Coturnix japonica: one gene and its partners. The protein of the gene in region 2 purifies or fractionates together with the protein of the main gene of each other region. This does not show direct contact. Links are inferred from orthologs where the notes say so. Each region holds a gene or a part of one and is shown on either strand. Other genes may lie near its edges.

What was found.
Region 1: the proteins of CAPZB (region 2) and CNOT7 purify together in Homo sapiens (co-immunoprecipitation; 3 studies listed by BioGRID and IntAct, with this or other methods). This does not show direct contact. The link is inferred for Coturnix japonica from reciprocal best matches to the Homo sapiens genes CAPZB and CNOT7.
Region 3: the proteins of CAPZB (region 2) and SVIL purify together in Homo sapiens (co-immunoprecipitation; 3 studies listed by BioGRID and IntAct, with this or other methods). This does not show direct contact. The link is inferred for Coturnix japonica from reciprocal best matches to the Homo sapiens genes CAPZB and SVIL.

The regions. Positions count from the first base shown.
Region 1 is NC_029519.1:56,944,093-56,949,279, reverse strand, and holds part of CNOT7 (CCR4-NOT transcription complex subunit 7), read right to left. Parts: intron 3,163-5,187; coding exon 3,018-3,162; intron 1-3,017. UniProt on the Homo sapiens protein: Has 3'-5' poly(A) exoribonuclease activity for synthetic poly(A) RNA substrate. Its function seems to be partially redundant with that of CNOT8.
Region 2 is NC_029536.1:4,121,570-4,127,249, forward strand, and holds the start of CAPZB (F-actin-capping protein subunit beta), read right to left. Parts: upstream 3,828-5,680; 5' UTR 3,697-3,827; coding exon 3,694-3,696; intron 1-3,693. UniProt on the Homo sapiens protein: F-actin-capping proteins bind in a Ca(2+)-independent manner to the fast growing ends of actin filaments (barbed end) thereby blocking the exchange of subunits at these ends.
Region 3 is NC_029517.1:13,367,168-13,372,849, forward strand, and holds the start of SVIL (supervillin), read right to left. Parts: upstream 3,997-5,682; 5' UTR 3,950-3,996; coding exon 3,877-3,949; intron 1,264-3,876; exon of another isoform or gene 805-1,263; coding exon of another isoform or gene 804-804; intron 1-803.

The DNA of each region.
Region 1 (5,187 bases), on a different chromosome or scaffold from region 2:
ATCTTAAATCAATACTGCCCAGCATCTGAGGTTACCTGTGTCCTCAAAACCTTTAGCCTGTTTCAACCACGGAAAAGGAAACAATAAGAGGTAAAAGTATAACAGTCAGTGTTAGAATTGATACACTAACAGAAATCTGACCAAGAGGTCAGACCTAACATTATGAAAATTTCTATGAATCTAAATGCAACACATCTTAAAAACAAATCTCCAGTAATAACATTCCCAAGTAACACCAAGCAAACCAACACGGTACTGGCATGTCTAGCTTTATTCTAGCTTGAACAGGTGAGTATCACTTGCTTAAATTTGAGAATTACCCTATATGTAGTACAGTCAAGCACTGAAGTTTGTTTTCTTCCTTTGCTTAGAGATAACATTCAATCACTGCATATACACTAATTCAGTGGTTTAAGTTAGACCCTTAAGGAAGTTCAGGGATGATGGGCAGAAAATCAATCAGATCTCAAATAAAAGCACATTCTCTACAACCTAACTTTCCTATTGGCATTAGCAACAGCAGTTGCCTTTCCAAAGCACTATTTGCTGTTTGTAAACTCTTGACTTTCCCAAGCTGACACTTAACATCGCCTCATCATTACGTAGTGCTAGCTGTTAGGCTATCTATACCAGCTTCACTTAGCACCTGATATCACAAATCAGTACTATTTACACAGTGGCTGCAAAATTTATAGGAACAGCAGCAAAGCAAAGAAGGCTTTGAAAATAACCCTTCCAATACATATAGTCACCAGTAGATACATTTGTAAACATATCATTACAATTGCCTCCAAAGATTATTAGGCTACTGAAATTTTATTACAGGAAAGACTTCACGCTCTACATAAGAATATTTAACTTGTGGGGAAGAAAGGCAGTAGAAAGGGATTCAGAAGAAAATGAAAGAACAGCCTATAAATCTACTTTAGAACTGCTATTACTGCAAAAACTGTATGGAGTTGCCTGCATGAAAAGATTTTTAGACCCCAAGCAGGAATTTAACCTGTACTACACAAGTACCTCGAGTTAGTCACAGTCTGCCTGCTGTGTAGTACACTGATGTCCATTTTTGTTAGAGTAGCATACTGTGGATTCATTGTAAGAGCAGCAAACAGTTTCCACATCCTCAAACACTTGTCTTATCAATGCTAAAAATTCACTTTTGGCTATGTGAGGGCAGAGGTAGGTGGGAAGCTTAGAGTAAGTCTGTTTTTTGTATGAAAATAACTTATAAAAGTCAATAAAGGACCACTGCACAGCAGTTCAATTCTCTGCCATTTAATAGAGACCAAACATGACAATTTTTGAGTCACAATATGCAACACTTAGCAACTTTTCTTTTCAGACAGCTGCTCTCAGAACAGTACAAGTCCACAATAATTTCATTTGCTGGTGCTTAGAGTGGTAGGATAGCCCACATTCCCTCCTGTCATTACCAATCTGCAGCTAAGAAGAATAAGATTTGCTGCAGGAAAGCTCACCTACATATTAAATGCTCAAAAAGACACCTTTGTTCTTAATTTTTGCTGAAAGAAGACTCATGAAGGTTTTTCTTATCTTCCAAAATGCATTTGAATCTCTAAACAGTGCAAGTTACACACAACTGCCTTAATTAAGTGACAATATAACTCTCTCCTCCCCAAAACCACTTGGAATATCACCTATGGAACAGCACTATGGAATGCCATTTTGTTGCCTTTCCCAGGTCACTGAAGTAGATGATACATACTGTTCTTGATAAGTATATCACCACCACAAAGACAAGAGACATTTTACTTCACTCAGAAGTGAGAAAGTTTGTGGGTTTTTTTTTGTTGGTGGTGGTGCTGAATTTGCTGCCCCTAACCCTTAGGAGACTTCTGAAGCTTGATGGTTTTTTTTCCTTTCTAGCTTCTGTGAAGAAAAAACATGTCTAAAATGTTCTCTAATGTCCAGCCATTTGCCCAACTGGTTTTCCCAATAACTGGATGAAGTCCGGTAAGTATACTTTTCTTAATAACTAAAAGGGAGATCTCCATTATCAGCAATTTGGTTCACAAAAGAAATTACACATCTTTGGATGCTACTATTTAAATGACACACTAAACACCTCAAGGAAACAAAGGACTATTAACTCCATGCAGACCACTCATTCAGCATGAGGAAGTGAAATGCCTCAGGATTTAGTTGTACTACAGCCAATGCTCTTGTTTGTTTATTCACGTTCTTTTTAAGAAAGACTAAAAAAAATCAAGTTATTTTCCATATAAGCAACAAAGTCATTTATTGCTTCAGGTGAGTGGTGCACTTCATTCCCGTAGCAGTCCAGAATCTTAAAGTTCTTTAGCAAGTACAGTCGTTAACAATCCCTGTAGCATCTTTCACTTCGCTGTCTTCCCCTTCAACATACTTTGTTTCAATTCATTTTCCAGTTCAATTAAGTCTCCAAACGTCATGCCAATTAGCAGCCCTGCTGGCCTGATATGAGAGATTAGTTTCTAAAACTACTTTATTTTTTTTTCCTCTAGAAGTCACGTGCTGCTTCTGAATATACGCTGCTCTTTATCTTTCCTTATAGGGCCATCTGAAACATTCTTCACTCCATTCCTCTTCCCAAGAGACTTCCACAGCATCACCGTTGCAATTACCTTTGTGAAGACGACTGCAGCCCTTTAGTGGACTGCACAATGAGGAAATAAGAGTACGTGAAACCCAACAATTCTTATTGCTCAAGAAGTGAAGGATCTATATCCCAAACATGAGTTTATCATCTGGCAACAAAAACTGGGCATAGCTATAAATACAGTGCCAACACAATATTTTTTAACTGGTAAGTAGTTATAAAAGTTGACGTGCACTTCTGCCTGCCTCTATCAATAGCCTTTAATATTAAATATGCACCAAGTTCAAGTCCTGTTTAATGGATATAACCAGAGCAAAAGTGGAAAACCAGGATACAGAAGATAAGCTTTTAGCAGAAGGTATTCTCCCCTCCCCACAAAAAAATGTCTGGACTGAACCACTAACAGATTACTTACCTTCAGATTTTTGCAACTCTTCATGAGATACTTTACATCATAGATGACAGGGAAAAACAATCGCAGTATCTCAAAGAAGTCCAGCTCTTCTTCAGGCAAATTAGAGTTGGTCAGGATTTTGATTAGATAACCAAAGTCATATCCACTGCAAATTAACAAAAACAATACAGTCAAATAATATAAAAACACTCTTCACTTCTGACTTGAAGGCTACTAGACATTAAGAGGAAGATATTTTGCCTAGTCCAATGCAGCTTTGACTCTTACAACAGAGTAAGAATTAGTGTAAACGGCCCCACTGCAGCTTCCAGAGAAAACATTTTATTTTATCCTCAAGCGGCCACGTGAAGAAGCAAAAACATGACCTGCTATCAGATCTTCTAATCAGATCTGCAAACAAGAACTTAAACAGAAAGACACCTAGCTGATTCACCAGACTGAAAGAGAGGAACAGGCTTCCACTCTGAAATCCAAAGCAATTGTTGACTTCCACGAGTAAACACATTATGTTGGAGGTAAGTTTAATCCTCAGCAGTGATGAAGAGCAGGCTGCCATTCAGCTCTCCCAACTTAATCAGCACAAAGTTAAACAGCTAACCACTTTTAGTAGCTTGTGGACTGTGACTCATTTGGAAGGCAATGACAGAACAAGTTTGAAAAATCTGTGTGTACATACAAGGCTAGGTAGAAAAAAACTGAGGTTTTACAGTGTGCATGGTGGAGAAGAGCTTGGGAAGACTTCCTTCTCTCCATAATCCTTGACTAAAGAAAGAGGACATAGGAAGGGGGTGTGGTAGTAGAAACAGAAAGCATGAAACAGACTACTTTTACAAAGGGTTGTAAGATGAAGCAGAGGGTTTAAAGTACACGGTAAGCAGGACTGATAACTACTTATCCTTTTTCTTAGGAAGGCGGAGGTAATAAACCAGATTATTCACGATCTGATCATAAATCTGATCCTTCCTAATCCCTTGTACTTGCAGGATTGCTCACACAAATCATGCACTGAACCGGACAGGAGACTGACACGTTATCCTGCATGTTATTAGGTTAGCATTGAATTAAACAGGTTCCTAGATTTTGTTGGGTGTCCTGTGCTCACATGGGACAGAGTTGGTTGTCTTCATAGCACCTGGTATGATGCTATGCTGCCACTTTAGAAGAAAAGCTACATTGATTATGACTGACGGCTTAGTTGCTGCTGAGCAGTGCTGTACAGCATCAAGGACATTTCAGTTTCCCAGCTTCTCACACTGTCCTGTTAGCAAGGGGGACTGCAAGGGCACAAGGAGCTGAGAGGGGACAGAACCAGGACAGCTGACCTAAACTAGCCAAAGGGATTCCCCACACCACATGACATCACATGAAAGCCATTAAATTGAGGGCAGTTGCTCAGGGGGAACCGGTTAGATATCTATCAGTGGGTGGTGAGCAACTGCATCACGCATCACTTGTTTTGTGTGTATGCATAACTAAGATTACTGTTATTTCTCTCTTCCTTTTCTGTTTTAGATGAGAGTTTTTTTTTATCTCCACCCACAAGCTCTACTTTGTTGGTGCTTTGTTGTTGCTTTTCTTCCCCCTCCAATTCTCATCCCATCGAGGTGGGGGTAAAAACAAGTGAAAGGCTGTGCGTGGTGCTGAGCTGCCTGCTGGGTTAAACCACAACAGCTGGTAATCAACTTCAAAAATGACTGTACCAGCAGGACTGCTCAACTGAAGGCTGTCAGCTTATACTGTTTAAGGAGCATTCACAACACATTCACAGTCTAATTCAAGTGAAGGGGTGGCCACCCAGACATGAATTCTCAGTTTCCATGATGTCCATTCCTGGTTGCGTGAGTATCACACCCTAAAAGAATTTTGCAACAAGGTCCAAATTCTTGACTGGGGTCTTTCAGCATTAGCTGTGAGGTGAGTAATACATGACAATACAATTAATTATAACAGTTACCCTCTACAGCTACATGAAAGGAAGTCACAGGAAGAGAGGGGGTCAGCTTCTTCTCCCAGGTGATAGGATGAGAGGGAAAGGCCTCAAATTGCACGAGGGGAGGTTCTGTTTGGATATTGGTGTAGGTGGACATTTGGACTAGATGATCTTAAGAGATGTTTTCCAACCCTAGTGATTCTATCATTCTATAAACAAATCAGATAAGAGCACTGTACT
Region 2 (5,680 bases):
CATTACTGAAAGACCTGGAGGACATCCTCTCTGAGATCAGAGCAACACCAGTAATGACTTGCTCTGCAACAAGCTATGTGAGCTATATGTGAGCTATGAACACTTACAGCAATGTCTTATGGGTTTAAACCAAGAGGCAGGGCTCCCAAATCAACCCTGTGCTGATAAACAGCACAAGCTACGCCGGTGGAATATAAAGCAGCAAAGTTGAATTTGCATTCATTAGGAATAAAGCAGGTAATTTATGGGAAGGGCAGCCAGATAAGTCAAGTGCCTACAGATGTATTCTGTAATGCTTCAGCCCAGCTCGGATGAGGCAGCACATAGAGCACAAGCTCACAGCACACTGCACACTTCCACTCTAAATCCTAAAGGAGAGTGGGGCCAAAGAAGAGAACCAAATAATACAAGGAAGTCTGATGCTTTGATACCACCATTCTAGGAAACCAAGCACCAGGTATTACCTAATGCAATTAAAGTAATTCTAAATAAAAGCCTATTTTAGACAACCACAGATAGGAAACAGATCCTATTTCTGATTCTTGAACTTAGGAGATTTATTCCATCTAAACGGCCAGAAGGATTGTGTTGCCACTCCATTTGGCACTACCCCGACAGCATCCATTGCGGAAAATTACAACTTTATAATTAGGAAACAAGCAGAGCAGCTTCCTCAAGCATTCTCCATTTTCTCCTCATAATAAAACCTCTCAGCTCAAACAGCAGGGAGACATCTTTAAAACCTGCTTGACCAGCATTCAGTCTTGAATTCCTGTTCAAGTTAGAAAAGCTTTGTAATAAATAAACAAACATAACCTACCAGCAAGCAAACCCTGCATCACAGCACAGCTAGATGGACCAGGGAGGTGGGAAAAGGTTTATAAAGCCCAGACATTCATTGCTCCTTCACACACATGGTTTTAAGTGCAATTTTCCCTCTTCCTTGCTGGAAATGGCAAAGGATCAGGAAAAATGGGCACATTGGAGGCAATTGCTTTGGACCCTGTGCACCAGGGGAAGAGAGACAAAGGTTTGGAGGGGCACTGCAAACTCTTCAGAGCTCCTTACATAAATCAATTGGAAAGAAATTACAATGCACAGTGTCTGAGTGACAGCTCTACAGTGTGAATTAGAGTGAGGAACCATTTGGATGTGACCAAACATACCTCCAAAGGGCAGGCAGGAGAACGCTCCATGCACAGCCTGCAGCTCATCAGCCATCCTTTGCATGGGAAACTCAACAGAGAAGTCCAGCTGATTAATGCAGAACATATCTTTCCCAAAGAGAATCATTGAGCTACTAATGTAATAAGCACTAAAAATAGTAATTCAAAAGAGTTAAACTGTGCTTTCATTCCGGTTTATTCCCAGATGTTAACTAATAAGATATCAGCACATATATTTACCATATGAGGAAATCCCATCTGAAGATCTTGTGGTTCAAATATTCTCAAGCCAAAGATTTATCATCACTGCAATGACAGTATTCCCTATCCCAGCAATACCCGCCAATTTGATTTACTTGGAGAACTTGGCTTTTAAGACAGCATTTATCTAAGCTCACATACGTGGCTAACAAAACATGGACTCTACAAAATAACACGAACGAGGATTTCTTAGATGGTACAAGGACTAAAGGATGTGCTGTGGGCACTGAAAACTTTCCCTGAGCTGATGCCATGAGTTTCAAGAGTGACACAATCACAATCAGAGACTCAGAATTCAGGGAGATGAAAAAGTGTTTAGTTTCACAAATCTTACATTGCTTTGGTATGAACCACATAAAACAGCAGCTGTCAGTGCCAGACCTATTTTAGTTCCTTCATGCTACATTTGAGTATTGTCTACAAAAGCAATAGATCCTGGGGATACTCTAAAAACCAGAAGGGAACTAAAGTTGAAACTGGGTGCCAGAATTGCATTGTCTGCATAATGCTGATTCTAAGAGCAAGGCTTTATTAACACATCACCACAGCTCATTTGTCTCCTGTAACCAAGCCCAGTGACCTTTCTTGCAGTAGGCCTGCATAAACCACACTCCACTTGCCCCACTCAGTGAACAAACCTTCGGGTGTGTACACAGCCACCACAACACACAAATAACGGGGCAGCTGCCACAGGTTCCTACCTGAAGTCCACCCAACAGCTGAGCCTAGCACAGTACTGGAGATCCTGGTCAGGTTTCTCCTGTACCCAATGCTTTCCATGACTAAACATGAGAAATCAGAAGACAGCAAAAGCTTACAGCACTCAAAAAACTCCTAAAGGGCTTGTGCTCTATCTCCCCTAAGGAGTAACGAAGTCACACACCTCAACTGAATCATTCTTACAGCATACTTCTGCATTCCCTTAAAAGCAGCAGGTAACACCACTGTCGTTTTACATGAAGCCTGCTTGTTTTCCTTCAGTTCTTTCTCTGTGAGGATTTTTAAGTTAGGACAGTTGGTTGGCCTCCTGTCTAATAAATCCTGCAGCAGGTCTTGTGTACAAAGACTTCAGCCAGGGCTCTTGGTCTAACATTCACATGTGAAGTTAGATGCTCCATCACGCCAATCCCACGCTTGGGTGCCAAGCACAGCTTTGTTCCAACAGGCACAGAATCTTGATCATAAGCTTTCTTCACCTTCCACTAGAAATCAAACATCTTCATCCTGTGCCATATAAGCATTGGGACCACCAGGACCTTCAGCCTCCAGAGGAAAGGATAAGATATTGCCTCTGAAATTCTTACAGTTGAAGCAAAGGATTGATTACTAAACCAGTCTTTACATGTAACCAGGTACATTTTGAACCTAACTATATTTGAACAGTCCTAAAAAACATCAAACCACAAATTCCTGAGCAGTACCAAGCACTGGAGCAATTACAGCCCTCCAGGTACGCTGTATTACAGGGGCTCAGTGGGCACCCCGCCAGGCAGGCTGGGCACAGCAAGACATCTCCACCCTTAGGTGCTGGGTGAGCCCATAGGAGATGAGACCCCAGGGGCTGCACCCCCTCCACGCACAGCACCAAAGGGAAACCGAAGGTTTTGTCCCTTGGGTGAACTTGAGTTAAAAGAGGGAAGATTTAGGTTGGATGTTAGGGGGAAGTTCTTCACTAGGAGAGTGGTTAGGCCCTGGAACAGGCTGCCCAGGGAGGTTGTGGATGCCCCGTCCTTGGAGGTGTTCAAGACCAGGTTGGACGGGGCCCTGGGCAACCTGATCTAGTAAAGGTGTATGTTTGGTGGCCCTGCCAGGCAGGGGGGTTGGAACTACATGATCCTTGAGGACCCTTCCAACCCGGGTCATTCTGTGTGCACTCACCCCCCAGCACATCGCGGCCAGGCTGCGCTACACGGCTGCAGAAGCCAGACACTCCAACCCTCATCGTGTGAGCCGCACACACCGCAGCGGTGTCTGCCCGGGCAGGCTCGGCCGCCCCGCACGCCGCCGGTTCCTGGTTCCGCACAGCTGCGGTGCGACGCGGGGCTGGAGGCAGCGCTCCGGCCGCCAGTCCCGGCTCCGTTCGAGCCGCCAGACCCTGCGTTACCCCAGGCCCTGCCCCACCGCCCCCCGCGGGCCCTGCCCCCACCGCCTCCCCCCGGTGCAGGCCGCAGCCGGGGCCTCCCTCACCGCCGCCCCGTGGGAGGGAAAAGGAAGCGATAGGGCCCAGCTGCGGGGCTGGAAGCGGCGGATCCCGCACGGTGCTCACCATGGCGGCTCGGCGGGGCTGCGCTGGGCGGTGGCAACGGCGGCGCCTCCCGGTCCGCTCCGCTCCGCTCTCCCTCGTTCCGAGGCAGGCCGCGGCCCTTCCACTTCCGCCGTTGCCTAGGAGTGAACATCCGGGTCATCGCCCCGCCGGCCCCGCCCTCACCTCACAGCTCAACCAATCAGAGCGCGGCTCGCCGGCCATCGCCAAGTATGGAGCGCTGCGCGCGGACGGGGCGGGAGAGAAGCGCGGGAGGGGCGGGGGGAGCAGCGCCAAGCAGCCAATGGGGGGAGACCGGAAGAAGTGCAGCCAATCAGGTGCAGGGGGCGGAGCCTACCGGAGCGCGCCGGCGCGCCGCTGTGGTGGTGGTTGTACTTTGCTTTCCTTGGTTTGCTGTAGAAACTGGAAATGCTGTTAAGGGCAGTCATGTATCGCTTCCTGCTGTGATGCAATGCTGTGAAAGCACGGCATTACTGTGTGCATTTGTAATAGAACTGATGCGTTCTCTAAGGGAACGGCTTCATTTTTTCCTGGGAGGTGACATTTTGTGGTACATCCACCCGGCGGGTGACATCCAAGGCCAAGCTCTTATTTTCCACTCAGCCATTATCACAGATGGGTTTTAGTTCAGTTTTAGTAGCTCTCAGATACCAGGCAGAACCTTCCAAGAGATGCCAGCTCAAGCAATACAAGCACCTTCTATTATCCAGCCCTCAATCCTTCCAGAGGTCCCTACCAGCAGTAATTAAAGGCTGCCTTCATCACTCCAATACATTATTCCTTTCTTTAACAGCGTTCCGCACATTAACATGAGCTGGGAGCACAGAGCAGATAAAACATACATTCTAAACTTCACAACCTTTGTTATAAACCCATGCAAGCTCCTCAACGGCTGTTTTGCTTTTAGGTCTTAATGAGCAAAAAAGGTTTCTACCCTCTTGCTGAACACAAAGCAAAAGCAGATTCATGCAGCCTGTGTTAAACAGTTTGAGATCTGAACGAACATCGATGCCAAGAGGATGTTTTCCTTACAAGAAATACAAGCATCCTGGATTTTGTTTCCCTGCTAATAGGTATAAAGCAACAGAAACAGCTGCTTTTTGTTTGCCCCAAAATATTTGCATGAAGAAGAAGATCTGCGGATTCCTTTGTGAAATGGATGTAACGTCTTTTCCAATGAGGACCAGCTGCTTGCTTTGCTTGTTTATAGCAGGGAATGCTTTTGTTTGTTTATGAAGATGTAGGAGCAAGCTCTTCCTGGCAAGCTGCAATTTGCAGCGTGGAGATCTCAGCTGGTTGAAAGCTCCCTGCGTGGAGCTACAGTTCTGGCCATCCTACCTTCTGTTGTAGCTCTTGGAGGGGCTGATATAAAACAAAGTTAATTCAGGCTCTGAGTGGGAGATATTCAGTAGATCTGGGTGCTGTGAGTTGAACTCCAGGCATGTCCCACAGCTCCCAGCATGGAGTCATTCACCTACAGCCAGGAGTGCACTCAAAAGGCTCAGCAGCAGGAATTATGCATCTTAGAACGAGGGCCTGTAAGCAAAGGAAGCAAACAATTATGTTACTTGGTGGCTTAACAGCTCTACAACATCAGATTCACGTGTAATTAATAACAAAGCTTTCCATCTTTTCATCAGCGACTATAAAATACATATGCTCTCCCTGTACTTTTGATTATATTCAAAGAAACAAAAGGATAAATACTCTTTTTTAGCACTGTCACGTTTAGCCAGAACTCCTTAAAACATGATATGCTTTTTATTTTATCCTCCTTGCACGTGTTGTGAAACACTGTTTATTTTCCTTATTCCAGCATTAAGCCAGGACCAAAGAGTAAATGAGAACAAGCTTAGAACCCAGGTCCTACAGAAAGCTTTAATGCCTCACTGAATACTCATTTATCCACTAAAGAAATAGACATCTTAGGCTTCTTTTTCTTTTTTGTTCAGTCAGATTGAACATTTACTTTCAAGTCCAGCTTGAGGCA
Region 3 (5,682 bases), on a different chromosome or scaffold from region 2:
GCAGATTCACAATCCAAAGAAAATGGAAGATGGCCCTGAATTGCCAGCTCCTGAAAGGGAAACAGGGGCAGTGAGTAGAGCTATGTCTAAAACTTATTTCCTTGGTAAAGAGAAAATTGTTACATTTCTGAATACCAAAATATAACACCTGGAACACCCTTGAGGTGAGGAACCTCCTCTTCCCCCCAGCCCTCACTGTGCTCCCCAATAGCAGCTGATCTGCAGCACAAGTGGATAGAAAGGCAGTGCCAGTAACTTTCACCTGTTGTGTCCTAGTAACATTTAAAAATAAGGGAATGGAAAGTTGGAGGAAGCTTTCTTCAGAATACTCCAGGTGTCACTGCACAACAGTTACCTAACGCAACAGGATCCTCTGTGTATACAGAATCTCTCAGACAAGATAGCTACTGAAAAATGTTGTTTTTAAGAGAGTTCTTAGAGTTGCTTGTAGCTGTGCCTAAGGTTAATGCATTAAAACTAAAAAAGATTCACCTCACACACGAACCAACCAGCAATGGGACCTTCCATTCATAGCAGAATGAACTCATCCTCCAAACAAAACCACAAGAATAAAAACACAAAATGCCTTAAGGACGGCTGAATGAGTGGCATGCACAGGCTGGAATAAACCCACTTGCATTTCAACCTGATGAAGCCTCAGACAACTGGCCCACGCGGCCACACGCACGCTCAGCGAAGGACATACGACTTACTTCAGAATCCCGCAAAAACCCCTTTTGCAAAGGAGGAAAGAAAGAAGGTACAGACGCAGCAGAAGGGGTCAGACTTCTCAAAATACTTACTGATAACTCTTGCAGTGTTCGTGAGCCAAGAATTTCATGATTCTTGTTTTAGAGAAGTTTCTCCCTTCAGCTAAGGTTCCTTTCCAAAGGACTAATGCTCACCGCTAATAAAACGGAAAAGTGACTTCACAAAGTTACCAGATATCAACATGCAAGGCTGGCGAGTACATGTGCAGTCAAGATGATTCAGATAAGTCAGATAAATTTAGAACAACGCTTTCCTAAAAGCACGCGTTCACCAAATGCAGTGCACACGCAGGAGCTATATTCCAAGCGCTGATTCCAAACATCAGAACAAAAAATTTATTAGTGAAAATCTCCTTTTAAGAGTTCGCTGCCATCTGAAGTCCTCGACAATGTTACTCCTCGATCTGCCTTTAGTACTTCCATCCATCACTGGATTTATCCACATAAAAAGCTATAGGCTCTCCAACCTCGGAGGACTAAGCCAAATGCAGTGTGGCAACTTCGCATAGGACCGGCCTTTTATGGTTGGAACAGTAGAGCTTTGATACAGCTAATCTACCATAAATAGCTCTTGAAACTCAGAAGGATCAAATCAGCTGTTGCAACAGTCCCAGCCTGTAGCTGCTTCAAATCCAATTATACTGTCAGCTCTGTCTTGCAGCTTTCCTTTTTATTCCCCCCATCCACAACTTTTAAAGTCCCGCTCCTACAAGAAATTAAATGCTGCAGGGACAAACGTGACAGAATAAAACATGTTTCATAAAAACAGAAACAAACCAGCATGTATTTTTATAGTCCTCTTAAGGAGAAAAGGTTTTGCTGTATTAGAAACATCTTCAGCATTTATTGCCAGTAATTTTTTTAAATCAGCCCCAACTCGTAATGCAAACATACAGTCTGAAGTAAGCAAACAGTACCAAGAACAGTCGGCTCAGCCTTAAAGGTGGGTAAAAATAAGCAGATAAAACTTCATGGCGCCCTATCCATGGCCCAGATTAAGGTACTGAATTGCTTGCATATTTTTATCGTAACTTAAACACAACTGCAAAGCACCAGAAGTCACTGCTAAACCCTTATGTTACAGTGTTTCCTTTCTAGTATTTTGAACCATTTTCCCACCAAGAAGCTCAGGACTATAATTTCAGAACTCTTCAACACCTGGGTGCTTCCAAAATGAGTTCTTGCTAACAATGTAAGTCAAGAGAACCATGAAAAGCACCCCGAGGGCTGCCAGAGCCCTGCGACCCCGAGCACTCGGTGCAGTGGCACTGTGCTGAAAGGAGACACCCTTTGGATCCGGGGGAGGGCAGATGAGCAGTGTTATCTTTATGGTTCACTTCACGGTGCAAAGCAGCAGCACACAAGTACGTAAGGATACATAAACAACAGATGTATTTTTAAGTTTCCATGTACATGTTGTTTAGAAGAAGATGGTTTCAAGAATGCAGCATGCTGCTTGTGCTTATTTGTCTGGNCCTCAGTCTTTCCAAAACAAAGAGTTAAATTACTCCAGTACAGTGCAGGAACTCCAGGACTCCGAAGGAGATGATGTACCCTGTTCACAAAGTCTGAATCTGTTATTTGCTGGGACCTCTTTCAACCTGCACATTGCCTCCTGTAATAGCAGGAGCAACGTCTAGCACCGACATTGGTTCTTCTTGCTCAAGGCAGAGAGAAGAGCATTACTAACTCCCAGTGCTCAAACTGCTTTAGGAAGGGCCAGAAATATGGATCCTCTAGAAGCTAATCAAAGTGACCAAATAAAACATAAAAAATAGGTCCATCGTGGAAAAGTCTGTACCCCTTTGTCAGCTATATGCTACCTCACTCCTCACTGAGTTTCTGTTTATCGTATTATCTCAATTAAAGGGCTTGGGCTTTGCAAAGTATGCAACATACATCGAAGACAGGAGTCACTGCCTTCAATACTGTCTGCAGTGACAGTGGATGACAAAGTAACTTCAATTAAGTGTGAGTGGGTTAAATGAAGAGGTTTGTTGTTTCCTTCAAACAGTGCATGGAGAGCCCAGCTTTGTCACTTTGAGCAAGTCTCAGAAAAGTCAGTTGGATGTGGGCGCAGTTTCCCTTTAGGCCCTAGCAAGTGCCCAAACAAATTAATTCAGACGTACAGGGGACAGAGAGCTTTTCATTAGCATGGACTAAACTGAGCATGTGACAAGTAGATTGAACAGACCTGCAAGATGTGCCTGAATAAGTTCATCACTCTGAATGCTGCCTGTAGGACTTGTCACATTGTGCTGCTTCTGCACACTGCTGGAAAAGTAGCTGAACCAATTGCTGACAAAAGTTCAACAGAGCTCTTAGAATGCAGCAAGCATGCTTGCAACTGGTAAGAGAAAGAGCAATCGTCAGCACACTGCCAGAACACAAGTGCTGGCACTTTATGCCCTACCCATAACCATTTAACATCTTAGAACCTTTTTTTGCTGAGGAATTTAAAGGATGCGAGCTATGATATGGAAACACAGCCCCCTCCTCAAGGAGGACAACTGGGATTCCTTGTTTCTTTTAGACATACCACCCTATATCTTACTGCTGGCATTCATCCTCCCTATCACACAGGGTATTATGTTAAAGATTTCACTTCCATGGTAAATTAAAAAATAATAATAAAAATCCTGCATGTGCTCTTTTCACACATATTTCCTGAGCTATAAACATACAAAACAGAACTGATCGTCATGAGAATGCAGCACTTTCTTCCCCTTCCTCCCCAGCACAAGATTTCTGTAAGCACAAAGTAAAACAAGCTACTGACAGCACATTAGTTTGTCTCTAGCTCTTTACAGAAAGTGTAAAATCTGACTTGTATCATACAAAAATGATACTACTCCACAGGCCACAATGAAGACAGATGGAGGAGTGAATAAACACAACTTTGGTACCATGGTCTTGGGGTTATGTGCTTCTGTGACTAACAGTCAAGAAAAACCACACAGTAGAGTGCACACAGCTTAAAGTAGGCACGTCTTTATTTAACATTCAGCTTCCTAATTTACAACTGTCTTTTTTGCAGCTGGGGACAAGAGGGAAAGGCGAGATTTCCCAGAAAAATCAAAGACAAATTTAATAACAAGTGACTTACCAGCATCCATTGTTAGAATCATGACCCCACTTCTGCGTCCCAGGAAGCAGGAAGCCTTACCCATCCAGTGCATGCGAATGACTCAGAAGGACTGCATGGCTTTGTTTCAGCTTATATCTTCCAGCTCATTCACCCCTCCTCCCCCGTGTGGGATAAAAGTGATGCCTGTGCCTGACCACCCCCATTGGCTCAGTTCAGAAGCCACTCATTCAGCACATTCAAATTGCCGTGAGAGCCTAAAATGACCCACTGAGAAATTCTTATTTATCTTTTTTCAACCCAACCCACTTTTTGTTCCTCTGAGAGAACAAGCCATTCATTGTTTCACTATCAGACACATGCCGCAGTTGGCGTGATTGTCACGGGGCCAAACAAGTGCCTGTGCTCTGAACTGGGAGCGGTGGGCAGCAGAAAGGCATCCCCCAGCCCCAGTTCCATGGCTGTGGAAATAAGGACATACGTTTTATGCCACAGCCTGTGCCCTCCAGGCAGTTTCTCTTCAATGCAAACTACATACACCCGCAGTCTGAGGATCCCTGGTTTGCCAGGGAGGATTTACTCATCCATTTTATTTTTAAATAGGAGGATAGCTGTCTTACCAAAGGTGCACACCCAAACTCTATAGGTTAAACTCTGCAGTAAGGAAAGAGTTTTTTATGTTTGTTTTTTGTGTTTTTTTTGTTTGTTTGATTGTTTGTTTTTTAATCTGTAGGGCTTCTTAAATATAATAGCTGGTATGAGCTCAGCTCTGCCCAAAGAATTTAGAAAGCTGTTACAATCTATCTGTTAACCACCACCCCAGTTAGATAATATAGTCTTAAAAAAAAACAAACCATAACACAACATAAATGCAACTCTATCTGATTAAGAGACATCTCCTTCCTTTGTTAACTTTGATTGTACAATAAGAGAGACTAAAAAACACACACGGAAGGAGAGAAAGTGGAGGACATTTGTCTCTATGCCACACAATCCTCAAGAACTTACTGTGCAGCTGTGAAAGGCGAGTTCCTGCATCTCACAGTATGAGGTGTTGACAGACACGGTATCTGCACTTAGAGATTCAACAAACACAGTGAATGAAACACTGGTGTTCTTCATCTTTTGATAAGAACTACGTTTTCCAAATAAAGCATGGACATATTAGGCTGCCATTTCATCACGCTGCTCACCACTAGATAACCTCAGATTCATAACTATGATACAACCACAAGTGTATTTTGGAAGTGTTGCTTGTGCTTGTTGAAATAAACACAGCTCCCTCTCCTCCCCTCCTGTTTTTAGAACAGGTATCAGTTGCAAGTCTCACACACTAATGTTTGCAAGGCAGCAGTGAATTTAGAATCCACAGTTCAAAGGAATTAGCAAAAGCACAATAATTGAGTCATCACTTCCCACATTTCTTGACCTTCCCTTGCTCTGCACAGCTCCACACCAACAGTCTGGGGGAAACAAAATACTCCTAAACATGAAGATTTCTGATGTTTTCAGGGGTACACTGCAAGAAAAGTTTTGAAAAGAGACATGGGTAATCCAGATCATAGAAAACAAGCCCTAAACCTTTGCTTCTTGATCTCTATTCACTGAATTTCTCAGGTAGACAGACTGCTCCCCAAAAACATTCTACGGGTTTCTGTTTTCAGAAGGAATGTTTGAGTAGCAAAACAGTGGTTCCATCCAAAGTTCACAGCTCTCAAATTGTTCTTTTGTTGACCATAATCAATAACCAAGGACATGTGGCAACAATCCGTGCCACGTGCAGAGATGCATGCTGAACTTCTGGGAATGGCATAAGGCATAGCTTCC